7 linked regions of the Callithrix jacchus genome follow. The protein of the gene in region 1 purifies or fractionates together with the protein of each later gene. This does not show direct contact. Links are inferred from orthologs where the notes say so. Each region holds a gene or a part of one and is shown on either strand. Other genes may lie near its edges. The genes, in order: RUVBL1, DPCD, ACTL6A, NOP58, EPC2, NOPCHAP1 and ZNHIT6.

Region 1 (3,018 bases):
AAAACTTGACCTCAGCCAAATGGTAAAGGTCACCATCATGTTGCTAGCATGTGATAAGAACCGCACATGATATGTGATGAAAACTGGATTTTACCTCTGAGGTCTTTCTTTCCATAATCCACAATCCCAGTCTACTCATGAAAAAAGCATCAGACAAAGCCCAATTGAGGGATGTTCTGCAGAATACCTGATTAGTCCTCCTCAAAACTGTCAGGGTCATCAAGAACATGGAAAATCTAAGAAAATGTCACAGCCAAGAGACATCTAAGGAGACATGACAACTACCTGTAATGGGGTATCATGGATGGAATCCTGGGACAGAAGAAAAGACATTAATTAAAACAGAGAAAATATGAATGCAGTATAATAATGCATCGGTATTGGTCATTCACTGTGACAAATGTGCTATCTGCTGTAACATGTTAACAATAAGGGAAACTGGGTATGAGATACATGTGAACATCCCTGTTGTGTGTTCACAATGACTCTGTACATCTAAAACTGTTCTGAAAAGTTTATTTTTAAAAAACTTAAAGAAGAGAGAGAGATCAAAATAACCTATGAAGATTTATAGAAAACACACCAGGTAAGGAAGGGTTCTTTACAAGCAACCACAGGAAAAGTTATGATAATTTAAAAAGAAATGCTTTCCACACTGAACTGACAGCACTGCAGACCACGCCTGAGTGGGACAGCAGCCCCAAGCCCAGGGGCGAGCTGTCCAGAACTGGGCCAGGCACACCTGGAGAGTCTCTTGCTGCTGAAAACCTCAGCCATCTCACTTCATGTACTTATCCTGCTGGTCAGCAAGAATTTTGGCGGATGACTTGGCATCATAGAAAAGCTCACTGATCTCCTCAACGTGCTCTTTCTCAATGCTGTCCTTCCCGTTGATTTTAGCAAGCAGGTTGGCCGGGGTCAGCAGCTGCACTGAGTACCTAGAGTGGACAGAGGCCAAGGCTGAAGTGAAACTGGGGCCACCAAAGGAAGCCCCTTCCCCCAAATCAGTAGGCAGCACTGGCACCAGAGGCAGTTCCAAATGCTAGGCTTGTGCTAGCTGTTGTGAACACAGAGAAGTGGAAACAAAGTTGTCACTTCTCAGAGAGCTGCAGTCACTACCCCATGAGAGACGGGCCAGGAGCCACGAACAAGACTTAAGTGCTTTCCCCAAATCTTTAGTACAGTCTACAAATTCTCTCCAATAGGAAGTAACGCCACTGCTACTGGAAAAGGACTGCAAACTTAGATGTATACAGGTGCCTAACAGATAGGGATATTTAACATGGCAGGGAAACGAAAACACGGCCAGCTGGAAGTACATGCCTATCGAAAGGCACGAAGACTCCGTCAATTTAAAAAGTCCCCCTTTTCCAGATCTCACAGCTTGCATCTCTGCCTTCAACCTCAGGAGCAAGAACTGACTCAAGGGATGTTGGGAAGGGCTGAGGACTGTGAAGCAATGATTTTACAATAAGTTAGGCCACTGTTAAGGACATGGTCTGCAGGCCCCCAGACATTTTTTATTTGCTTGATAAATATAATGGTTAAATAAAAATGTTAAAGATTTCCCAGGTCTCATAATATCAGCAGGAGAACAGGAGCCAGGGCCCGGGCTAATGAGCTGCCACATGGGCCCTGCTCTCTAGTTCTGTGCACCTTCTCTGCCACAAGAAGGCCCAGGGTCAAAGCACTCTCCACAAGAGGGGAGAATCTGCTGTAGGAAACAGGGAATTCGGCCTTACTCTACCCTGTTAAAAACCATCAGCTAGATCCTCTGCATTTGAAACTCAACTGCCCTGGCACCCAACACACCAGGAAGAGCAGATGGATATAGTACTGTGGCCTGGGAGGGGACCTGCCTTTATTGCCCAGAACGACCACAGCGAGGGCCCTGGCTGTGCTGAGGAGGCCCCGGTGGGCTCAGGGTACCAGCTCACCTCAGTGTGGTCTTGGTGCCAATCTCCCCCAGGTGGTTCAGTGCCTCCTCACTAATGTTGATTCCCTCCGTCTGGGCGCGGATTTTAATGATCTTTTAGAGGAGAAAAAAACACAATCAACAGTGACTGACCTCAAGCACCCCATTTCTAAAGTACTTTAAAGACAATGTCACTCAGTATTTCTCACTGTGCAGCGTAAGAGAAACCAAGACCTGGGCTGGTGGGCAGGGAGCCAACACCTGCCCAGCACTGCCAGCCCAGCACCTTCCAGGCATGTATGGCCCCAAAGTATGCATGAATGGCATCACGGCCAGTGTGCTGTGTTCAACTGATTCAGTGTGGCTGGCGCCTCAGGAGGTGTGTGGCTTCCCAGGTGGCTCACTCTTGACTCCACATCCTGACCTCCCCTGTCCCCAGACAGAGAACTGAGGCCTCTTCTAACCTGCCCTGGGCTCCCTCAAGAGCTCTAACCTTCCTCTCCAGCATGGGTACCACAAGCACTCAGGCAAGAGACATTTTTTATTTGCTTGATAAATATGATGGTTAAATAAATCAAAAAAGTTACTTTTAAAATTTACCAGGCCTCATAACATCACCAGGAGATATCTAATCTATCAAGAAGAGGCTGACGCTTGTTGCAGTTTGAAGATCTTCGTAGAGGTGGAGGGGAGGCAAGCTGGCGGCGGAGACACTGTAACATAGTGGACCAGGATCCTGCAGGCGCACCAGCACTGAGTGATAAGGGGCAGCCGGGATAATGATGTTGTGTGTTGTGGAGCTGAGATAACTGCAGGACTTCGAGCCGCATATAATACAGGAATTTTTCACTTTGGCAGCTTCGTAAACAAGATATCCAGAAGCCCTTGTTGAAATTAAAGCCATAAAAGCACACCCAGGGTAGAGGCCCAGGAGCTGGGAAAGACTGAGTCCCAGCTTCTGCCATCCAGGAGGGAGGAGAGCCAGAGGTTTACTGAGGTGGCCATGTCAAGCCTCACCTGTCAGCTCTCCAGGCCGGGACCCTGCGGGCAGGAGTTCCAGGGGTGGGGAGCCAGTCTCTGATGATCCTGGTTGGGGTTGGGGG
Region 2 (4,168 bases), on another chromosome or scaffold:
AGGCAAAAATTCTACTGGTCATTCCCTGAGAGTCCAGGGAGTCCTTTCTGATTTATAGAGGTCTTTGGGTAGAAAAGAAGATAACACAGCAAATGGCCTGTCCAAGACCCAGGACCAAGCTTAGTACAAAGCAGGTACAAACAGACCTGCAAGCCCTGGACAGGCAAAGTCAGCTCCAATATCTGATTCTGGACATGAACAACGTAGGGCTGAAGCACATGAAGGCTGAGGGTTCAAGGGAATGAGGGTTCTGAGGGTCGGTTAACTCACCTTCTGCTTCTTCTCCCTCTTCCCTCCTGGGAATCTTTGCAAGTACTTTTGATGATGCATCGGCATGAATTTTCTTCCGCTTGGGAAATGCCTTCAAGATACCCCTGGGATCCATTGAAGTACGGCTAGATCTCGGTCTGTCAGAGGGTTGACCAGGGCAGCTGTCATGTGGAAATTCAAAATTCATGCTCTCCAACCTATTTGCCTGTGGAGGTAGGGTGTTCCCTGACTAGGCCTTAGGGATAGCAGCCCAGTTCGGGGAGACAGTGCTGGGGGGGGGTCTCCTCAAACCCCATTAAACTTCACTGGTGTAGCCTAGCTTCCCACTCCCCAGCCTTTCAAAGTATTAGTCTTTCGGAGTATTAGGGGGAAATGAGAAGACTGGGACCATTGGGGGTACTTTTGAGGAGCAGGAAACAACACCATTCCTCACTGGGGTTGCTCTAAAGATTCAGCACAGCCCTACTGCTGCAGCCCCCTTCTGAAGGGCTTTACCAAAATGGGATACTGGGCTAGGGAGTGGAGCGGAGACTGGGGAGAACCTGCACCATAAACCCCACATAATCTTTCTCTACCTTCAACACAGTTGCAGAGGAAAACCTAAGGAGGGGGACTTTCGGGGGTGAGTGGGAACGCCCTGCACCTGCCCTGGTCTCAGCCTCTCGGCACGGGGGTGCTCAGCCCCACAGCTGCGGGGAGATAGGGCACGGCCGCAGCAGGTGTGAGGCACCCTCCGGATTGGAGGAGTCTCAGTCTCGCAGCTGGGGATGGAGAAGACCCGGGCAGGTGTGCTGTACCCGACGCGTACGCAGCTGGCGCAGGCCGGGGAATCCCAGCTCCGGGCTAGAGGAAAGCTGCAGCGCCCGACCCAGGCTCCAAGAGTCCCTCTCCAACCCCCGAAGTCGGTCCCCGGGTGGGTTAGACAACTGGCCAAGCTGATCATTCGCAGGTGGGCAGGAATAAATCACTTACCAGGAGAGCCAATGAGAGCGGACGAAGGGGGAAAAGCGAGCAAATGCCCAGAATAGCTTCCGAGTCAGCCGGAAGTGACCCTCAGTGGAACGGTTGCCATGGCAGCGGCCGGGCGCGCTGCTTGGCAGAGGAAAGATGGCGGTGACGGGATGGTTGGAGAGTCTGCGGACGGCCGAGAAGACTGCGCTGCTGCAGGATGGTAACTCGAGAGCCCTCGCGAGCTCCCTCGTTTTTTCCCCCCAGGGTCCACCCCACAGGAAAGGCCTCAGGGTCTGCAGAGCTGAAAGGGTCTCGGCAGTCAGCTGGGCCAGGTCCCTGCATTTGTAGATGAGGAGACTGAGGCTCAGAGATGACGTGACTGGAACACAGGTCTCCGGACACCGATTAGATTCCTCTACACCAACTCGCTCTGCTTTGAGTTTGTTGCTAATATAATAATTTCTTTCACATTCATTATCTCATTTGCTCCTCACCACTGTCCTGAGAGGTTAATTTTTCACCCCGTTTTACAGAAGAGGAAACTGAACTCCAAGAATGCTTCAGACTTTAGAGAGGAAAGAGGCCTGGGCTGTAGTTCCGACTCTGCCATTAATTCACCACGGGCTCTTCAGCCCTTTAATTTGTTTGGACCTCACTTTCATCGTCTGTAAAATGAAGTGGATGGGCTACCACTGAGGCCCTTTCCAGCTGTAATATTTTTGTAAAGTGAACGTCTTTTTTTTTTTTTAAAGACGGGGTTTCACCATGTTGGTCAGTCTGGTATTGAACTCCCGACCTCAGGTGATCCGCCCGTCTTGGCCTCCAAAGTGCTTGGATTACAGGCGTGAGCCACTACTCCCGGCCTAAAGTGAACCTCTTAATGTTTTCTGTGTCTTTAGGAGAGCTAGAGCAAGGACCAAGGGCTGTGCCTGGAAGAGGTGGGCACAGGGGCATGGATACCTAACTTTTTGCCACCCTAGGATTGGCCGATGTCGCCCCTCTGTGCACTTGGGTCCTTTCTGGACCCACTGGGGAGCCAGGTTGAATTGGGTCTGAAGTTCCTGAGGTTTCGAAGATAACAGCAGGTGATTCACATTCACAGGTAGAGGCCAGTCAAGGCAGCCTAAAGTTGGTGGAAATTAAAATCATTTGCCCTTTAGTGCAACATTTAGGGAGGCTTTTACTATGTGCCAAGCTCTAAACTTGAACTGAAAGAAAAAGATATGTTGTCCCAGGACTTACAGTGGTTGGGAAAAACATGTATGCAAATAATAAGATGTGCTAAATAGAGGTGTAATCTTGTATAAAATGGTAGGAAATAATGAAAGTGTATATGATACCTCTTTGGGGAAAGACCCAAGAGAAGTGATGATGTTTCTGGGTCCTAAATAATTAATAAGGGCAGGCACAGTGGCTCATGCCCATAATTCCAACACTCTGGGAGGCCAAGGCAGGCGGATCATTTGAGCTCAGGAGTTTGAGACCAGCCTGAGCAACTTTGTCTCTACAAAAAATACAAAAATTATGGCTGGGGGTGGTGGCTCATGCCTGCAATCCCAGCACTTTGGGAGGCCAAGGTAGGTGGATCACTTGAGGCCACCTGAGGAGTTCGGGACCAGCCTGGCCAACACGGTGAAACCCCATCTCTACTAAAAATACAAAAATTAGCCAGGCATGGAGGTGTATGCCTGTAATTCCAGCTACTCCAGAGGCTAAAGCAGGAGAATCACTTGAACCCAGGAGACGGAGGTTGCAGTGAGCTGAGATCACACCACTGCATTCCAGCCTGGGTAACAGAGTAAGTGAGACTCTGTCTCAAACAAAAAATAAAAATTAGGTGGGTGTCATGGCACATGCCTGTAGTTCCAGCTACTTGTGGTGGCTAAGGCCAGAGGATCACTTGAGCCGGGAGGTAGATGCAGCAGTGAGCCAAGGTCATGCCACTGCACTCCAGCTTGGGTGACAGAGCGAGACCCTGTCTCAAAATACAGAAGAAAAAAAAAGAATTAATAGGTGTTTGCTGAGTGAAGAAGCGGATAGTTATTCAAGGAAGAATGACTCACATATAAAGGCCCATATGTGAAGGTACATAGATGATTACTAGAGGAATAACAGAACGTTTAGTGATGTTAAAGCAGTCACTCAGTCAGAATAAACCACCTGTAACTATGTCAGGTACTATTCTAGGTGACAAGATAGAAGGGAGAATAAAAAGTTCCCTTTTCTCAAGCAGCAACGAGGGGAAGTTGTAGGAAATGAAGAGAGATTACAGATAAATTGTGATAGATTGTGACATATTGTGATAGATCTCTTATGCCTTGCTAAAGATTTAGGACATTTTTTCATAGGACAGTGGTTTTTGTTTTTATTGTGGTAACAGATACGTAACAGAATTTAGCATTTAATCATTTTTAAGTGTACAGTTCTGTGGCATTAAGCACATTCACATTGTTGTACAACTATCACCACCATCCAGCTCCAGAACTTTTTAATCTTTCTCAACTGAAGTTCTGTTTTTTGTTTTTTGGAGACAGGGACTTACTCTGTCACCCAGGCTGGTGCAATCTTAGCTTGAACTCCTAGGCTCATGTAATACTCCCACCTCAGCCTCTTAAATAGCTGGGACTACAAGCATGTGCCACTACACCTAGCTCAAGTGAAACTCGGTACCCATCAAATGCCAAGTCCTCATTCCCTCCCCCCCATCTCCCGGCAACCACCATTCTACTTTCTGTCTCTATGAATTTGACTACTCTAGGAACCTCATCTAAGTGGAATCATACCGTATTTGTCCTTGTGTAACTGGCATATTTCACTTAGCATAATGCTTCAGGTTCATCCATGTTGCCACAGTTGGATGCTTCACCACGGGCTCTGCAGGCAGCCCTTTACCTGTTTGGACCTCACTTTCCTCATCTCTAAAATGAAGTGGATGGGCTACCATTGT
Region 3 (3,500 bases), about 66 Mb from region 1:
GACAGAGTCTCACTCTTGCCCAGGCTGGAGTGCAGTAGTGCAATCTTGGCACACAGCAACCTCCGCCTCCTGGGTTCAAGTGATTCTCCTGCCTCAGCCTCCTGAGTAGCTAGGACTATTTAGTAGAGATGGGGTTTCACCGGTTAGCCAAGATGGTCTTGCTCTCCTGACCTCATGATCTGCCTGCCTTGGCCTCCCAAAGTGCTGGGATTACAGGTGTGAGCCACCCCTGTGTTGCCCAGGCTGGTCTTGAACTCCTGGCCTCAACTGATCCTCCTACCTTAGCCTCCCAAAGTGCTGAGATTTCAGGCATGAGCCACTGCACCCCACTCTATCTGACAGTTTTTGTACCTAAAAATGAAGATTTTTTTAATATGAGGAAAAATTAGGATGATTAGTCATTTTTTTCTAGATACTAAACAAGATTTTTCTAGAGGTCATATTAGTTCATAGCATTTTATTAAACTGTTTTATACACTGTACAGTCATTAAAAGTTGCATAAAATGTGATGTATATATGTTGCTTCTAATCTAGCTTATTTTTAAGGAGAAACTGGTCTTCTGAAGTTGGTTTTGTTATGCAGGACTGTGGTGCAGGGGTTCCCTGTTGTTTACCTCTTATGATTGTTTCATAACTGTCGTAACTTAAATGTGTGTAATTTAGCCTCTAATGCAAATGTTTAGCGTTGGGTTTCTTGATACTCAGAATCCTTGTGAGGTAGATTTATACTCTTGAAATTATTTACCCATACAGAAACAGGGTCCAGTTTTATTCCGAAAAGTATTTAAAATATGTTATAAAAGTGTAGATTAAAAAGATAAATCTCAACCTTGTTTTTTAAACTTTTTTCTTTTACTCATAGTGTGTTATCCAGGATTTTCAAGCTTCAGTACTTCAAGTGTCGGATTCAACTTATGATGAACAGTATGTTTTCTTATTTAAATTGTTACTTTATAAATAAGGAAAGGATTTGTTTAAAAAATATCATGGAACGTACTTAATTGAATAATGCTTAAAATATTCTCACTCCCATTATTTTAAAAGTTGATAATTCCCTAGTAGTTTATCATTTCGAAGAGAATTAATTTTGTCTTTTGTGTGATACTGTTTAATACGTTTTCAGAGTGGCTGCACAGATGCCAACTGTTCATTATGAATTCCCCAATGGCTACAATTGTGATTTTGGTGCAGAGCGGCTAAAAATTCCGGAAGGATTATTTGACCCTTCCAATGTAAAGGTATAAAAGCTTATTTCATAATGAGCCTGGCTTTTTCTATATGTGTAAGGAGTGTTTGTGATTATAAAATAAGACTAAAACGTTTTGGATGTGCTTTAACTGTTTGAAGTTCTTCCATGTGACTCTTTGTTTTCTTTTGTTGTAGGGGTTATCAGGAAACACAATGTTAGGAGTCAGTCACGTTGTCACCACAAGTGTTGGGATGTGTGATATTGATATCAGACCAGTAAGTGCCAGATCTTTTAGGGTACTGACGTGTCTCCAAGTCATTGTTAGGTTGTCAGTGTCATTGACTTTGAAGTTTGTTTTATAACAGTAGATATAAAAAGAGGAAGTACTGAAAAAGGAAAAGTCAAAACTCTAGAGCTATGGAGTCCGGACTGGTAGCTACCTGCCACATGTAGCAATTTAAATTAAATAAAAACTTAAAATTCAGCTCTTCAGTTATAGTAGCCTCATTATACATGTGGCTGGTGGCTGCTTCATCAGGCAGGGCAGATACAGAACATTTGTATCATCACAGAAAGTTCTTATAGAAGGTGCCACGCTGGAGATTTCCTGAAATGTGGCCAACCAAAATATGTATTATTGGTGATTTTCTTTTTTTTTCTTGAGACGGAGTTTCACTCTTGCTACCCATGCTGGAGTGCAATGGCATGATCTCGGCTCACCACAACCTCCGCCTTCTGGGTTCAGGCAGTTCTCCTGCCTCAGCCTCCTGAGTAGCTGGGATTACAGGCACGCACCACCATGCCCAGCTAAGTTTTTGTATTTTTAGTAGAGACGGGGTTTCACCATGTTGACCAGGATGGTCTCAATCTCTTGACCTCGTAATCCACCTGCCTCAGCCTCCCAAAGTGCTGGCATTACAGGCTTGAGCCACCGCGCCCGGCCCCTGGTGATTTTCTTAAAGATAGCACAACTTCTGCATTTCTTTTTCAGGAAGGTGTGTTTTAAATTATATGAGTAACTTTTACATGAAGTTCATATTAGATGATCTTCATATTTTTTTGTGCTTTGTCAGGTTTTAAATACTAGCCCCATGTTATATACTTCACTCATTATCAGTGATAGGACCTTGGAGACTGCAACTTTAAGTGAAATGATGTACAGTAGGTTCTTGAAGGACATTGTTTCAGGAAAAAAATTGGTTTTGTTACGTCGTTTTCCTGAAAGTCAGTTTCCAAGGACATATTGATGACATTAAGTGAGGACTGACGTCATCTTATTTAAACCCGATTCGATTAAGCTTATTGCTCGCAGACTGCCTGGATTTTGAGTAAATTAATTTGCTTAAAGCATAGAGTGCTAACAGCTACTATGTTGTTCAGAAAAGACTTGGAGTGGCTGTGAAAATCATACTTTATTTCACCGGAAACCTAGCAGGCATGTGATGTTTCAAGGACCAATAGGAGTGTCAGTTTGGGATTTTTTTTTTTAGCGCACATACAAGTCCACCTTTGGGGAAAGGTAATTGAAGTATATTTGTTGCAACAGTGGTAACTTTATTTTTAGTGAAATTTCTCCTTTTAACTAATGAGGTACTTTTTTATTCCATTTTCTACTTCAAAATTTAGATGATTTAGACATTTTGAATATGTTTTAAAAATAGGAATTTATCCACTAAAACAGGTTGACTTTTAACCTTCTGAAGCATACATGCAAATTCAAAGTAAATATATTTTGTATAAGTAGTAGTTTATTTTTATTTGGGGAAGCCTCACTTGTGTTTTAGAAAACTCCCATGTACTTCTGATGCATACCTCTGCAAAAGAGAAAGGTAGCAATCATTTTGGACAGGATTATGTTCAGAGTTCATCTTTGTCCATCATAATCATAAATTTTGAATATCCTAACTTCCAGATAAGCATTCTTTTTCAAAATATTTGTAATTTTAATTTTTGGCTGGTGGTTGGTATTAAATTTTCCAGATGAGCATTCTAAGATAAAGTTGTTATAAAATACACTTCTATTATTGGCAGCTATCTGCCAAAAAAATGATCATTTTTAGGACGATTCCTTTAAGTTAGCGGTTCTTAAAACTTTGTGCACATTAAACTAATCTTGGGAGTTAAAAAGCATGCCTGCCAGGCACAGTGGCATGTAGTCCCAGTTGCTTGGGAGCCTGAGACAGGAGGAGGATTGTTGGAAGCCGGGAGTTTGAGGCTGTGGTACGCTATGATAGTGCCTGTGAATAGCCACTGCATTCCAATGTAGGCAATATAGCGAGACCCCGTCTCTAAAAGTAATCTTGCCTGGAT
Region 4 (3,500 bases), on another chromosome or scaffold:
CCACGTTGTCCAGGCTGGTCTCAAACTCTGTCCTTGTGATCCGCCTCCCTGACCTCCCAAAGAGCTTGGATTACAGGCATGTGCCACTATGCCTGGCCTTTTTTTTTTTTTTAAACATTTTTATTTTATTTTTTTGAGACCAAGTTTCGCTCTTGTTACCCAGGCTGGAGTGCAATGGCGCGATCTCGGCTCACCGCAACCTCGGTCTCCTGGGTTCAACCAATTCTCCTGCCTCAGCCTCTCGAGTGGCTGGGACTACAGGCATGCACCACCATGCCCAGCTAATTTTTGTATTTTTAGTAGAGATGGGTTTTCACCATGTTGACCAGGATGGTCTCGATCTCTTGACCTTGTGATCCACCCATCTCGGCCCCTCAAAGTGCTGGGATTTATAGGCATAAGCCACCATGCCTGGCTTTTTTTTAACATTTTTAAACTTTAGTTTCTACTCAGTGACATTAGTTCTGTGCCTTGAGATCATTCAGAACAAGTGCATCTTTAACCCATAATAATCTTAAATATGTGTGGTTCTTTTTCTTAAGTTTATTTTATTGAACCCTTTATTACCTCTACCATTCTACTCTAGATTTTATCAAATTTCAGTTTAGTTCTGTTAAACTACACATCATTCAAAAAGACTGAAAGTACTTAACTTGTCTAAGCCTCAGTTTCACCATCAGTAAAACAGAGATACGTATATCTCATAAGGCTATTACAAATTTAGGCCAGGCACGGTGGCTCACACTTGTAATCCCAGCACTTTGGAGGCCAAGGCGGTGGACCATGAAGCCAGGAGCTGGTGAACATGGTGAAACCCCATCTCTACTAAAAATACAAAAAACAGCTGAGCATGGTGGCACGTGCCTATAGTCCCAGGCTTCAGCTGTTGGTCAGGCTGGCCCAACTCCTGATCTCAAGTGACCTGCCTCAGCCTCCCGAGGAGCTGGGACTATAGGCGCCCACAACCATGCCTGGATAATTTTTCTATTTTTAGTAGAGATGGGGTTTCTCCATGTTGGTCAGGCTGGTCTCAAACTCCTGACCTCAGGTGATCCACCCACCGCAGCCTCCCCAATGTTGGGATTACAAACGTGAGCCACCGTACCCCACCACAAAATGCTTTTTACATAACTCACCTTTCTCTATTTAACAAGAAAGAGATTATACGAAGATTTAATATGCACTATAGAGAAAAGTGGTTATATAATAAAAAAGTCCAACCTCAAAAAACAAAACCATGTAACACACCTTTCCTTTGTGCTTGGGACTTGTCTGGCCGACGAGTGAAGCATGATAAATGAGACCATACTTAGGGGTATCCCGTCTAGATTTGAGGGCTCTGAAAAGTGCCTTTTCTGCTCCAAGAATTTGAACTGTAGAAGCTGCATGCTTGGCCAAATTCAAAAGAGAACCTACAAAAGAAGAAAGTTACAAAGAATGCACTTCCAAACATCTGAATGTTCCATGTACTAAAACAAAAGACCTATAGAATTATTATGCCCACCATAATAAAATAAAAATCACATATAATACAGAATTCTTTAAGCCAGAATTCCCTAAAAAGCCTGATGTTTCGTTTCTAATTCCTTCATCAGTACAAGCAGGTTTGTGATGAATGCCTAGGGCAAACTGAAGGTTAAGCTTTTTAGTTCAATGTTTCTATTCACCCCAGAGATGGTAGTACTATTCTATATTCCATTAGTATACTACAGGAGTAACACAAATATGTCACACACGAGAACACTAATCTGGCCCCTATTTTCTGAGATTGTATTAAATATTCTATTGCTTTAGATATGAAAAAGCCTGGCCAGGCACGGTGGCTCATGCCTATAATCCCAGCACTTTGGGAGGCCGAGGCGGGTGGATCACAAGGTCAAGAGATCAAGACCATCCTGGTCGACATGGTGAAACCCCATCTCTACTAAAAATACAAAAATTAGCTGGGCACGGTGGTGCACGCCTGTAGTCCCAGCCACTCGGGAGGCTGAGGCGGGGGTGAGCCAAGATTGTGCCATTGCACTCTAGCCTGGGTAACAAGAGCGAAACTCCGTCTCAAAAACAAACAAACAAAAAGATATGAAAAAGCCTACAAACAAACACATTTATTAGGACATCTCGGTAGCATAACCCTATAATAAATTCACAACTTATTTACTTCTGTTGATTCAGCTGTGGATTAAGAAAATATATTCCTAGAAGTATACTAATAGTTCCCTATCTGTGGTTTCAATTAACTGTGGTCAACTGCAGTCTGAAAATATTAAAAAGGAAATTCCAGAAATAAACAGTTCCAAAGTTTCAAATCTCTTGCCACCGCACTCAGTCCCCATATTCAGATAGGGAGAATATGAATTATCCCTATCTACCCATTAGTCACTTTCCTAGCCCTCTCCACAGTGCAATATTGCAGTGCTTATGTTCATGTAACCAATGCAGAAAAATAGTGACACTGGGATATTGTCATAATTGTTTTATTATTACTGTTGTTGATGTCCTACTGTATCTAACTTATAAATTAAACTTTATCATACGTATGTGTGTTTAGGAAAAAACAGCATATACAGCACAGAGTTCACTACTATCCTCTGTTTCAAACATCCATGGGTGGGGGTGGGGGGGCTCAGAATATATCCTCATGGATAGCTGGGGACTACTGTACTAGTGAGTTATCAACATACTGCTTAGCTGGAAATGTTGTATAGAATATTTCCTGTCAGAAAGCACACTCACCATTAATGCTACAAACTTTACCATGAGACATATTTTTTAAAGTGCAACAAATACATACTTCTTTTTTTGAGATGGAGTTTTACTCTTGTCACCCAGACTGGAGTGCAATGGCACAATTTTGGCTCAGTGCAACCTCCGCCTCCTGGGTTCAAGAGATTCTCCTGCCTCAGCCTCCTGAGTAGTTGGGATTACAGGTGAATGCCCCTATGGCCGGCTAATTTTTGTGCTATTAGTAAGAGACATGTTGGCCAGGCTTGTCTCAAATTCCCAACCTCAGGTGATCCACCCACCTCGGCCTCCCAAAGTACTGGGATTACAGGTGTGAGCCACGGTGCCCAGCCAACAAATACATACTTCTATTAACCCCTGCCATCGATTAGTGCTACAACTTTAGCTGTATGCATGAAAACAGGTGAAGAAAATGAAATCATCTGATCTTACAGCTGCAGGCACTTGAATGAAACCTCTGATTAATGATGCAGCTAAAGAAATTATGCCAGACTGCACGCAGTGGCTCCTGCCTGTAATTTATCCAGCACTTTGCAAGGCCGAGGCAGGTGGATCACCTGAGGTCAAAAGTTTGAGACCAGCTTGGCCAACACAGTGAAACCCCATCTCAACTAAAAATACAAAAATTAGCCAGGCATGGTGGTGGGCGCCTGTAACCCCAGCAACTTGGGAGGCTGAGGCAGGGGAATTGCTTGAACCCGGGAGGCAGAGGTTGCAGTGAGCAGAGACTGTGCCACAGCACTCCAGCCAGTGCAACA
Region 5 (3,500 bases), on another chromosome or scaffold:
GCCCTCTAATGGGTCAGTGCGACTGCCCTAGAGGTCCACTCAATTACATAGGGATATTTGGCCTGATATGACATGGTCTGGGCACAGTGCTTTCTAATAATGTGACAGCTTTCTGAAAGTCTTTATTCTTTTTCTTTAGGGTAGTTGGCTTATCACATCTTTGTAACCAATCTACTTACCTTAGCAAGTTTTCTTTTCTCTTCTGATTTTCTGCTTCTGGTCTATTAAGTTTACAAAATAATTTTTAGGAAATGAGTGGGGAGATAAAAGACTTTTCTTTGAGTAAAATCTGACCTTTATGACTTTGGTTTTTTTGTTGTGGTGGTTTCTTTGGGCTATTTATAAGCTGTTTTTACATCCTAGTTTTTGGCTTTATTACAGAGAGATAAAGTTATTGAATAAAAATAAACTTACCTATAGGTGAAATATAACTGTCATCATTAAATATTTATAGCCACATACATTATTACATTATTTATAAAATATAGTGGGATGTATACAAACTATATTAATTCTAAGTCAGTAGCATTTCATGTTTAGAAGCAATCAAGCAATGCCAGGTACAGTTAACCTCTAAGAACTAATCCATTAAAAATAAGGATTTTTAGCCATAGAACATTTTTACTAGTCATTGAATGTTTTGGGGAATTCAGCACCTACTATATATAATATAGAAGTGATTTACTGTTTGTGATCAGATTTAAATTTTACAGCATTACAAACATTGATCTTTTGATAACTCATAAATGGAATGCCTTTTTTGTCTAGGTATTGTCCCCAGTATCAGAACCAGAAGAAGAAAATGATCCTGATGGTCCCTGTGCTTTCAGAAGGCGGGCAGGATGCCAATATTATGCTGTAAGAACTTTTTTGTGTGTGTGGTGTTTTTGTGAACTGGAATTAACAGGTAACCCATGTCAAGATGACTTAGTCTTGATCTAAAAATGGGAAGTGCATCAGTACTTTTTATTTAACATCCTTTATGTGGATACTGGTAAAAGATGCTTAAAAGGTACTGAGTCCTTTCAAAGGGTATTGAAATCCTCTTAGAAATTGATAATTCCTCACATTTTAGAAATTTAGTTTCATTTTGGGCTCTAATTATAACTTCAGCAGTTGTGAAAATTACTTGGTATGTCATTACTAGAATTAGGAAAACCCAGAATTTGTAAGTTGAGTCTAGAACCTTTGATGGCTGCTAGGTGATTACTGAAATTTATTGTTATGTAAGCCCATCTTGTGCATACATACCAATAAGTATCAAACAAAGTAATAATTTTTGAACTTTCCTAATGGCGATGTTTTGTCTAAAAATTGTGGTGGTGGCTTTTTTGGGCTATTTATAAGCTGTTTTAACACACATAGAAGTTGCTTTATGCTATGAAGTCAAATTATATCACTCTCCAAGGTTCTTAGATGAAGTGTAATGTAGCCTTGTAAGGATGGCTTTGGCTTTCTTATATGGCTTGTAGAGATCATATATCTTATAACATGATGGTAAACATACACTGACAACTTTTTTAGGGTGTGTAAATTTAGAAGAGGTGATTTGTCTACTGGTTATGCTGATGAGAGAAAGGAAAATTCTTAAGAAAAGGGACAGACATAGCATGACAGAATGATGGAGGGAATGGGAAGGCAGGGAACAGGCTGTTTGTATGTATATGTGTGTGTATGTATGTATGTATTTATGAGAAAGAGTCTTGCTCTGTCACTCAAGTTGGAGTACAGTGGTGCAGTCATACAGTTCACTGTAACTTTAAACTCATAGGTTCAAGCAGTCCTCCCACCTCAGCCTCCTGGGATTACAGGCACACACAACCACATGCTGTTAATTTATGTATTTTTCTGTAGAGACAGGGTCCTGCTACATTGCCCAGGCTGATCTTGAACTCCTGATCTCTAGTAATCCTCTTGTCTTGGCCTCCTAAAGTGCTAGGATTACAGGCATGAGCCACTGTGTTCCACTTGGTTGTATGTTTCTTAAAAATGAAGAGGAAGCTTCAGTTTGACCCCATAAGTGTTTGAAGTGCGATTTTTAGTCCAAAAAATATTCTTTCTGGTTCTCAGTAGAAAACCTAAAAATTACTCTGTAATTTCACCATTTCTACTTTGTACGCAAATGTTAAAAGCTGTATTATTTTAAAGATATATTCCTTTTTAAGCATAATTGACCCTAAATGAATTTATAAACTAAATTCAGTTTGGGTAATCTTGGGTAATCTTGGTTAGTGAACTTTTGATTCGGTTTTATAAAATTTAACCTGATTAATAGTTTCATGTCGAAATTTTAATTGTTCCGCTAATGTTGCAGTTGCTTCATTTTTATCATGATCTAACCTGTCTTCATTTCAGATTTATTCCATGGGTTTTTCTTTCTTTCTTTATTTGCAGCCTCGTTTGGACCAAGCTAACCATTCATGTGAAAATTCAGAATTGGCAGATTTGGATAAGTTGAGGTATAGGCATTGCCTTACAACACTTACAGTCCCGAGAAGATGTATAGGATTTGCAAGGAGGCGAATTGGCAGGGGTGGAAGGTGAAGTATTTGTTTTCACCTGGTTTTTGTTTACGATATGGAACAGAAGACCAAGAGAAAATGTTAAGCTCTGTCAGTTAATATTTGGTTTTATTTTGCTTTTCAGGGTCATAATGGACCGAATATCCACAGAACATGACCCAGTCCTGAAACAGATAGACCCTGAAATGCTGAATAGTTTTTCAAGCTCTTCCCAAACTACAGACTTTTCTTCTAATTTCTCTCGGACCAATGCTTCTAGTAAACATTGTGAAAATAGACTGTCCCTTTCTGAAATATTAAGCAATATCAGATCATGTCGACTACAGTGTTTCCAGCCAAGGCTACTAAATTTACAGGACAGTGATAGTGAAGAGTGTACCTCAAGAAAACCAGGGCAGACTGTGAACAATAAAAGAGTTTCTGCGGCATCTCTAGCTTTATTGAACACCAGCAAGAATGGCATATCAGGTAAGCTGTTGCTGTGTTAAAAGTATATCCTGCTATTCTTTTCCACTTAATTTTATTATCTACTAAATAAATTCTCAGGGTAAAATTTGAAGATTTATTTTCCCACTTAGGAAAGGAATTTTATCTTTACTACATTTTTTTTTCCAACCTAGAAACCAAATTGTACTGTTGTGCCTCACATTTTAACCAAATTGCCCTAACCAGTGCTGTAAAACCAGTGACATCTATTTTGAGTGTGTGCCTGGTATGATCAATGTAGGCAGAATGCATACAGTGTTTCCCTATGGGCACCCTGCTTATAAGCTGCCACTAGATCATCACAGCATAGTACTATCTGGTGCTTATGTTAAAGGTAGTTTTCATTTTGGTGTGTTGAACTTTGATTAAATGTAACTATTGCTTCTTGAGAGTACCTTTGAAAACACTTTCTGAAAATGATTTTTAGAAGACTCTATGAATAATTTTTTTTTTAAGATGGGGTCTCACTCTGTCGCCCAGTCTGGAGTATAG
Region 6 (4,029 bases), on another chromosome or scaffold:
CTGTCAAAAAGAATGAAGCAACCAAACAACAACAAAAAAGGAAATACATTATTGACAAGGATGTGGAGAAACTGGAACTCTTGTGCACTGATGGTGGGAATGTAAAATGGTGCAGCCACTATGAAAAACAATATGGAGGCTCCTCAAAAAGCTAAGAAGTAGAATTACCATATTATCCAGTAATCTCACGTCTGGATATGTATACCAAAGCATCGAAAAGCGGGTCTTGAAGAGATATTTGTGCAACCATGTTCATTGCAGCATCCTTCACAATGACCACGAGGTGAGAGCAACCCACGCATTTGTTGAGATGAACGGTAAAAAAATGTGGCATATACATACAATGGCATATTATTCGGGCTTAAAAAAGAAGAGAATCCTGTTATGTGCTACATGTCTAAACCTTGAGGATATTATTTTAAGTGAAATTAGTCACAAAAAGACAAGTACTGTATGATTCCACTTACGTGAAGTATCTGAAGTAGTCAAGTTCATAGTAACAGAAAGTAGAAACGTGGTAGCGAGGCATGATGGCTCACACCTATAATCCCAGCATTGTGGGAGGCCAAGGTGGGTGGATCTCCTGAGGTCAGGAGATTGAGACCAGCCAGGCCGACATGGTGAACCTCTGCCTCTACACAAAAATACAAAAATTAGCCGGGCCTGGTAGTGTGCACCTGTAATCCCAGCTACTCTGGAGGTTGAGGCACCAGTCTGGGTGACACGGCAAGACTGTTTCAAAAAAAGAAAGAAAGAAGAATGGTGGTTACCAAGGGACTGGGGTAGGGGCAAATGGGTACAGAGTTTCAGTTTTGCACGATGAAAATGACGTAGAGGTCCACTGCACAACAATGTGAACATCGTTAACACCACTGAATTGTTCAATTAAAATCGGTTAAGAAGGTAGATTTTGTTATTTTTTCTCACTAATTAAAAATATAAATTTAATAAAAAAGGATAGAGGACGGCAGCCCAATGCTTTGCTCTTTATGCCCCAATTCGTTTGGCGAAATAGAGCTTTGCCAGCTCCTTTTTACTATGACAGTGTCAGAACCTTCCTTTTTCGAACAGTACGAACGGCCCAACCTCCCGCGCAGCCTCCCGGCTGCACCCACGGGACGCCCAGACCCTCTCTCCGCTCCTTACTCCGCCCACTGCAGTTTCCTCCAATCGCGGCCCTCTCCCCGCCCCCTTACTCGAGCCTCTTTCCGGCATCCGGGCCTGAGAGTGCAGGTTTGGGAGGCTTGCGGGAAGCATGGAGGTTCATGGAAATCCCCAGGCTAGCCCGAGTTGTTCGTCTCCCAGCCGGGACTGCTCGGGGGTCCCAGTGTCCAGGGAGCTGCTGACTACGGGAAGCGACGGTCGCGGAGGTGACAGGACGGACGACTACGGCGTGGGCCGCGCTTCTGCGGCGGAGGAGGCGCGACCGGAGCAGCTCGGGGCCGGTGGCTCTCTGCCCGGGCTCCACACCCTCGAGGGGAGCCTCGGGGACTTCTCCGGGGCTCCAGGGTGCCCTGCTCGCGGCAGGGGTGGGGGCTTTGGAGTGGGCACCCGGCTGCGGGCCCGGAACGGCTTCCCTAGCTAGTGGTTCTTATATTTTGCAAGGTAGTGAGCGCCCACCCCGTCAGGCGCTGCTGCCGGGCACCTCCGCTGCCCTGGAAGCTGGGACGCTCTCGAACTCTTTCGGGGAAGGGAGGGCTTTTGGTCGGGCTTCCTGGGTCGGAGCAGTTGACTGGTAGGGGGAGGCAGAGGAATATTATGTCTAACCGTCCCTCTTCCTTCTTCATACGCACACCGACCACCCATTAGTGCCGCTGTCTTGTAGAGGGAAACGTGCATCCAGGAAATCCACACAGCATTTATACACTACAGATAGAATTTAAAAGCATGAGTTCGAATCCCACCTCCACTAGTAATTAACTAGTAGGCCCTAGAGTTATTTTCATTCTCTAAGCCTCAGTTTTTGCATTTAGAAAATGGAGGTAGTAATAGTGCCTGTAGCATTTTTGTAGGAGGAGAATGCATAAAAGGGTTGGGCAGGCTGTCAATAAATACTAGGTTGAAGAAAAGGCTTTATGAAAACCCAGAGATTCCTAAGGACATGTAATAATGATAACCGAAGCCTATGTGGTGCTTATTGTGTATGCCCCAGGAGCTAACACATTTAATCCTCACAACAACCCTTTGCAGAAAATTTATTGTCTCTGTTTTATAGTTGAGAAAGTCGATACATGATTTACCATACAGGTAATTTACTTTCTGGACATCATGTGGCTGGAAAGTAGCAAGACTGGGACTTGAATTCAGGTATTCTGGCTCCAGAGTCTGTGCTCTGATCACGAATCCAGTAGGCCTTAAGTAGCAAGCATTTAGCAGATGTGTGTTGCACTGTGCTTTTCAGGTGAACAGGCTTTGTTTTTAAACCAGAGTTAAGGGATTTTTCGGATATTAGAAATAGGGCGTGCAGAGCCTTGAGTTTTGTTAGGTTCCCCTCTTGGAACTCTGATGGGATAGAGAGTTGGGATGATTCGAGTAGTGAGAGATGAGGCTGAAAAGGTAGAGTGGGTGACATAATGTAGTCAAAAGGCTGCTTTGTTTGGGTTGAACATCTTCACGGAAGGGGAAATACCAGGCAAGCATGTTTTACTAATGAAGAAACAAATGCTCGGAGGTCAGGTAATTTGCCCAGTGTTACACAACTAGTAACCGTTTCTGGCTTCGCTTAACCATTGTTTTTTTGTTTTTTGTTTTTTTTTTTTTGAGATGGAGTTTCACTCTTGTTACCCAGGCTGGAGTGCAATGGCGTGATCTCGGCTCACTGCAACCTCCGCCTCCTGGGTTCAGGCAATTCTCCTGCCTCTCAGCCTCCTGAGTAGCTGGGATTACAGGCACACACCACAGTGCCCAGCTAATTTTTTGTATTTTTAGTAGAGACGGGGTTTCACCATGTTGACCAGGATGGTCTCGATCTCTTGACCTCGTGATCCACCCGCCTCGGCCTCCCAAAGTGCTGGGATTACAGGCATGAGCCACCGCTTAACCACTCTTAATGCTCTGTACTGTTTCCTCCATTCTGTCATTACAGACCCACATTTGTCTCCTGATGAATTTCTGATCCAGAAAGGGGTAGTTTAGTGTGCATTTATTACTTCCATTGGTGATAGAGGTGAATGAGATGGTGTCAGAAAGGAGAGGTGGCTGTCCATAAAGGATTAAAATGTTGTATTGGAACTTGGAGCGCTTTTTTTTAAAAAAAAATCTTGGGGAGTATGAACAGTCAAGACTTAAGACTGGTCATGTGAGAGGCTTGCTGATGGGCCGTTGTTTTTTTTATGCTGTAGTAAATTAAGGGTGTCTGTGTGTCTATATTTTCAGGTCTATGGGACAGGTTGCTCATCAATCCCCAACCTAAGTCCAGAAAGACTTCCACTCTTCAAACAGTTCGGATAGAAAGGAGTCCCTGTAAGTACCTCTTCCCCTCTCTCACCCTCTCTAATGCTGAGTTTTGTCTAATTATGCTGTTATTTGATGGGACAGTTTCTGCCTTCATGGTCAGGTATCCACAGTCCAGTGGAACAAGTCTTACTTGGGATTTACATGATAAAGTCAGTACACAGGATCGAATTTGTTACATTATTTCTCTACCTTAAGAGAGTAACTTTTGCATGAAAAACTCCATATGGGATGAATTTTAAGAAGTCAAAAACAACTATTGTTAATTTCCATGGCAAGTTTTTTTAGAGGTTAGTGAGCCTCAAACTTAATACATATGGATGGAAAACCTCAACCACATCCTATTGAATTGGACACAATTATTTAAATGATAAATATTACTTAGAATACAGCTTAACAGGGCCAATTCTCTGTTAATTATTCTGTAGCATTGCTATATTACACATTTATAAGTATGTCCCACACTCAGACTTTCTGTATTACATGAATGTCCTCTATGAATTCACTCCTTTTTTTTTTTTTTTTTTTGAGACAGAGTTTCGCTCTTGTTACCCAGGCTGGAGGGCAATTGCGCGA
Region 7 (3,500 bases), on another chromosome or scaffold:
AAATACAAAAATTAGCCAGGCATGATGGTGTGCCCCTGTAACAACTTGGGAAGCTGAGGTAGGAGGATCACCTGAGCCCAGGAAGGTCAAGGCTGCAGTGAGCTGTGATTGCACCACTGCACCCCGACCTGGGCAGCAGAGTGAAACTCTGTCTCAAAAGAAAAAGAAAGAAGAAAAAGAAACTGGTGAGGGTTTCTAATTCTAAGTGCAAATGGAAACTATGGAAGGATTTTGGACAAAAATTTGCCTTTTGAAAAACCACTCTTGCTGCTCTGTGGACTTTAGGGAGGCAAGAGTGGAAGATTGGAAGCAGGGAGACCATTTATGCAGCTCTTCGCGTGATCCTTGTGAGATAATAGTGGCTTGGGTATGCCCTTAGAATTATTGAGAGGGGATTAGATTCTGATTTTGAAGGAAAAGCTAAGACTTGCTATTCTAATACACTTAATTTTCATACTCTTGCATTGCCTTTTTCATTCCTTAAATACTATGCAGAAGTACAGCTTACATATTTGGAATGTTTGGCAACTGGCGTTACAAAAATTCGTTCATGGTATGATTAAATCATATCCTGCAATTGTGTTCATTTTAGTATTGGAGTTGCAGGATTTTAATACCTTTTAAATACCTTATTTTATTGGTATTGGCATTTTTTATTGGTATTATATTACATGTATCTGAAAGAAAATTATTTATACAGCAACTCTTATTTTTCCTCAAACTTAATTAGGCACAATTAAAATTCTACTTAGAGATAAATTACTTTAAAACTTTTTTTTAATTGTAAAATACAGCATGTATTTGTTTTAGAAAGTCACAGAATGGAAATACACAGTATAATGAAAAATTATAAAATGAACATTCATGTAACTACCACCCAAGTCTAGAATTAGAACATTACTGGCTTCCCAGAAGTTCCATGCCACCCTCTTATGCCCTTCCCTGATCTTTATGTGTGTGAAGATGTTTTTCTAGGGTTTATACCTGAGAATAGAATTGCTTTGTTTTATGGTATGCATATCTTCAGTTTGCCTAGATGTTACCAAAACATTTTCCAAAGTGATATACTAGTTTACACTCTCACCAGTAGTGTATAAATGTACCTGTTGTCATATTCTCACCAATACTTAATTTGGTAAGACTTTAAAAATTTTTGTCAATCTGTTGGCTATGTAATTTTATTATGGTTTTCAATGTGCAGTTCTCTAATTTCTGATGAGAGTTAGGAAGTTATTCCCTCATAATTATTGCCTAAAAGCTTTATACTATTGCATTTTATACTTATGTCTTTAACTGGAATTGATTTTTGGTATCATGTACAGAGAAGGTCCCATTTAATTTTTCATATAGATGATCCACTTTTCCCAGCACCATTTATTGGAAAGTTCATCCTTTCCCTACTGCTCTGTAGGACCACCTTTGTTATATATCAGCATCCCTATATGCTTGGGTTATTTTGTGGGCTTGTCTTTTCCATTCCATTGACCTACTGGTCTATCCTGCACCAATACTACTCTCTCAATTATTTTAGTTTTTTACTGAAACTTGTTATCTGATTAAGGCCTCCCACTTCCTTTTCTCTAGTGTTTGGCTATTCATTGATGTTTGCAAGGCAAAATAATTGCAAATCTAAGCAAAGGATGGCCCATAGCCATAGCTGCTAATGGACTTTTTTTTTTCCTCTATTTCAGTGTAACCATACAAGTTCCCTAGCTTGCTCTCAAAATAGTGATAGTTTCTGGTTCACCCTTTTCCTGAAGGTATATTGGGAGGATTGATCACTGCTATTATAATTATTTATAGTAATCAATACCATTACTGAAACCAAAGTCCTCTAAGTTAGAAAATTACATGCAATTTCTTCAGACAGTTTCCTGCTTAGCCAGTGATAGCTGACCCATTCTTTCCCTTGGCTCATGACTTGATTCTGACTCTACCATTTTACATTGCAAATTCTAGATCCATATTCATTTAACAGAAAACTTGCATTTATACTTTACCTTTTCTTTGAGTGATCTTTTTCCTTGACTTAATAAAAAATCTGGTATTAATTCCTTCGTAACTCTGGAATTCTCCAGTTTAGCTTTTAATCAACCCACGTGGTCAATGTAGTACACATGTCAAAGCAAGAATGTTCTCATATCCCATTTTGTGCTTCACACAACAGTGGCTACTTTAAGCTAGGCCTGGTACTAGGCAGTGCCATGGCTCTTCCCTTGAGTGAATTGTCTACTAATAAAATCAGGGATACATACAACTAACTGGTAAAACCATCAGTAAAAGCAATCAAGAATTGTGTAGGTAGCCCCTATGATTGCCAAATGACCTGTTTGTTTGTTTGTTTGTTTTAATCTCCATTAAATTATTCTTTGACTCATAGCACTTATGGTTAAAAACACAAGCTCTAGAATTAGACCTGGGTTGAATACAGGTTCTTTCTCTCTGGGATAGCTGTATAATGTTGGTATCTCACTAATTCTTATTGCTGAAATGGAGATGATAATACCTATTCTGATAGTATCATTGTGAAGATTACATGAGATTACTTCTTAGAGCTGTTGTAACACTTAGGTTTTCAGTAAATCTAAACTATTATTGAACAATTGTTTCACTCACTTTTTAAATTTGAAGCATTTAAAAGTTAATTTGTCTGTTTGGTTTTGGTTGGTAGATGTACTTTATGAAAAATCGTGCCCGAAGGCAAGGTATTAATTTAAAACTTCTACCCAACGGATTCACCAAGAGGAAGGAGAATTCAACATTTTTTGATAAGAAGTAAGTTTCTAACTTCTTAGTATATCAGGTGTTGTGATTTGATCAGGATCACCGTTTAAGGTTTGGTTGCTATAGAGCATTGCTACCCCAAGTGTGAGTCTGTAAACTGTTTGTTGTTGGTCCATGACAAGATAGCTGTAGTAATTGTGTGTCATGTAACTCTAATAAAAATTTGGGTCTGCAGAGTGTGTGTGTGTTTGTCTGTGTGTGTGTGTTTCTTCATATCATTTGAGAAACTTCTCAAACATTAATGTGCCTATCAGTCACCTAGGCATCTTGTTAAATATGCTCGTTGTGATTTTTCAGTAGGCCTGAGTTGAAGTTTCATATTGTGCATTTCTAACAAACTCCTCAGTGATGCTGATTGTTTGAGGAACATATTTTGAGTAGCAGCACCCTAGAACACTCTCATACATTAGAAATAAACTGTTTCTTTGACACCTAAGATGCCAAGAAAGTATTTCAGGGGCTTCCAGGACAAAACAGCAAGTAAAAGCAGGACTCCTGTATGTTTTAATCAAGGCAGCTCTGCTTTTATATTTTTTCTGCATTGGGTTTCTAAAGATTTCATTTAAAAGCTGTCAATGGAGAAGAAGGGGACTTTGAACTCTTTTCAGTATAGATAATGTAACAGATTAGTTTGCTGCTGTCTGAAAAATGTTGAGTTGAAAAGGCCCCAAAAATACTGAGGAGAATAGGATCCCAAAGTACTTTAAGTAGCCAAC

The links.
Region 2: the proteins of RUVBL1 (region 1) and DPCD purify together in Homo sapiens (affinity purification with mass spectrometry; 6 studies listed by BioGRID and IntAct, counting the BioPlex papers as one, with this or other methods). This does not show direct contact. The link is inferred for Callithrix jacchus from reciprocal best matches to the Homo sapiens genes RUVBL1 and DPCD.
Region 3: the proteins of RUVBL1 (region 1) and ACTL6A purify together in Homo sapiens (affinity purification with mass spectrometry; 10 studies listed by BioGRID and IntAct, counting the BioPlex papers as one, with this or other methods). This does not show direct contact. The link is inferred for Callithrix jacchus from reciprocal best matches to the Homo sapiens genes RUVBL1 and ACTL6A.
Region 4: the proteins of RUVBL1 (region 1) and NOP58 purify together in Homo sapiens (affinity purification with mass spectrometry; 4 studies listed by BioGRID and IntAct, with this or other methods). This does not show direct contact. The link is inferred for Callithrix jacchus from reciprocal best matches to the Homo sapiens genes RUVBL1 and NOP58.
Region 5: the proteins of RUVBL1 (region 1) and EPC2 purify together in Homo sapiens (co-immunoprecipitation; 3 studies listed by BioGRID and IntAct, counting the BioPlex papers as one, with this or other methods). This does not show direct contact. The link is inferred for Callithrix jacchus from reciprocal best matches to the Homo sapiens genes RUVBL1 and EPC2.
Region 6: the proteins of RUVBL1 (region 1) and NOPCHAP1 purify together in Homo sapiens (affinity purification with mass spectrometry; 4 studies listed by BioGRID and IntAct, counting the BioPlex papers as one, with this or other methods). This does not show direct contact. The link is inferred for Callithrix jacchus from reciprocal best matches to the Homo sapiens genes RUVBL1 and NOPCHAP1.
Region 7: the proteins of RUVBL1 (region 1) and ZNHIT6 purify together in Homo sapiens (co-immunoprecipitation; 3 studies listed by BioGRID and IntAct, counting the BioPlex papers as one, with this or other methods). This does not show direct contact. The link is inferred for Callithrix jacchus from reciprocal best matches to the Homo sapiens genes RUVBL1 and ZNHIT6.

The regions. Positions count from the first base shown.
Region 1 is NC_133516.1:74,067,474-74,070,491, reverse strand, and holds the end of RUVBL1 (ruvB-like 1), read right to left. Parts: intron 2,030-3,018; coding exon 1,938-2,029; intron 939-1,937; coding exon 779-938; 3' UTR 501-778; downstream 1-500. UniProt on the Homo sapiens protein: Possesses single-stranded DNA-stimulated ATPase and ATP-dependent DNA helicase (3' to 5') activity; hexamerization is thought to be critical for ATP hydrolysis and adjacent subunits in the ring-like structure contribute to the ATPase activity.
Region 2 is NC_133513.1:94,544,510-94,548,677, forward strand, and holds the start of DPCD (protein DPCD), read left to right. Parts: upstream 1-1,368; 5' UTR 1,369-1,377; coding exon 1,378-1,441; intron 1,442-4,168. Other genes in the region: POLL (DNA polymerase lambda), read right to left, coding at 271-431, 1,068-1,213. UniProt on the Homo sapiens protein: May play a role in the formation or function of ciliated cells.
Region 3 is NC_133516.1:7,809,714-7,813,213, forward strand, and holds part of ACTL6A (actin-like protein 6A), read left to right. Parts: intron 1-863; coding exon 864-925; intron 926-1,124; coding exon 1,125-1,239; intron 1,240-1,384; coding exon 1,385-1,465; intron 1,466-3,500.
Region 4 is NC_133507.1:123,462,970-123,466,469, reverse strand, and holds part of NOP58 (nucleolar protein 58), read right to left. Parts: intron 1,413-3,500; coding exon 1,249-1,412; intron 1-1,248. UniProt on the Homo sapiens protein: Required for the biogenesis of box C/D snoRNAs such as U3, U8 and U14 snoRNAs. Part of the small subunit (SSU) processome, first precursor of the small eukaryotic ribosomal subunit.
Region 5 is NC_133507.1:81,631,839-81,635,338, reverse strand, and holds part of EPC2 (enhancer of polycomb homolog 2), read left to right. Parts: intron 1-768; coding exon 769-858; intron 859-2,394; coding exon 2,395-2,540; intron 2,541-2,646; coding exon 2,647-2,990; intron 2,991-3,500. UniProt on the Homo sapiens protein: May play a role in transcription or DNA repair.
Region 6 is NC_133510.1:107,919,013-107,923,041, forward strand, and holds the start of NOPCHAP1 (NOP protein chaperone 1), read left to right. Parts: upstream 1-1,229; 5' UTR 1,230-1,255; coding exon 1,256-1,370; intron 1,371-3,375; coding exon 3,376-3,462; intron 3,463-4,029. UniProt on the Homo sapiens protein: Client-loading PAQosome/R2TP complex cofactor that selects NOP58 to promote box C/D small nucleolar ribonucleoprotein (snoRNP) assembly. Acts as a bridge between NOP58 and the R2TP complex via RUVBL1:RUVBL2.
Region 7 is NC_133508.1:122,939,871-122,943,370, reverse strand, and holds part of ZNHIT6 (box C/D snoRNA protein 1), read left to right. Parts: intron 1-2,671; coding exon 2,672-2,775; intron 2,776-3,500. UniProt on the Homo sapiens protein: Required for box C/D snoRNAs accumulation involved in snoRNA processing, snoRNA transport to the nucleolus and ribosome biogenesis.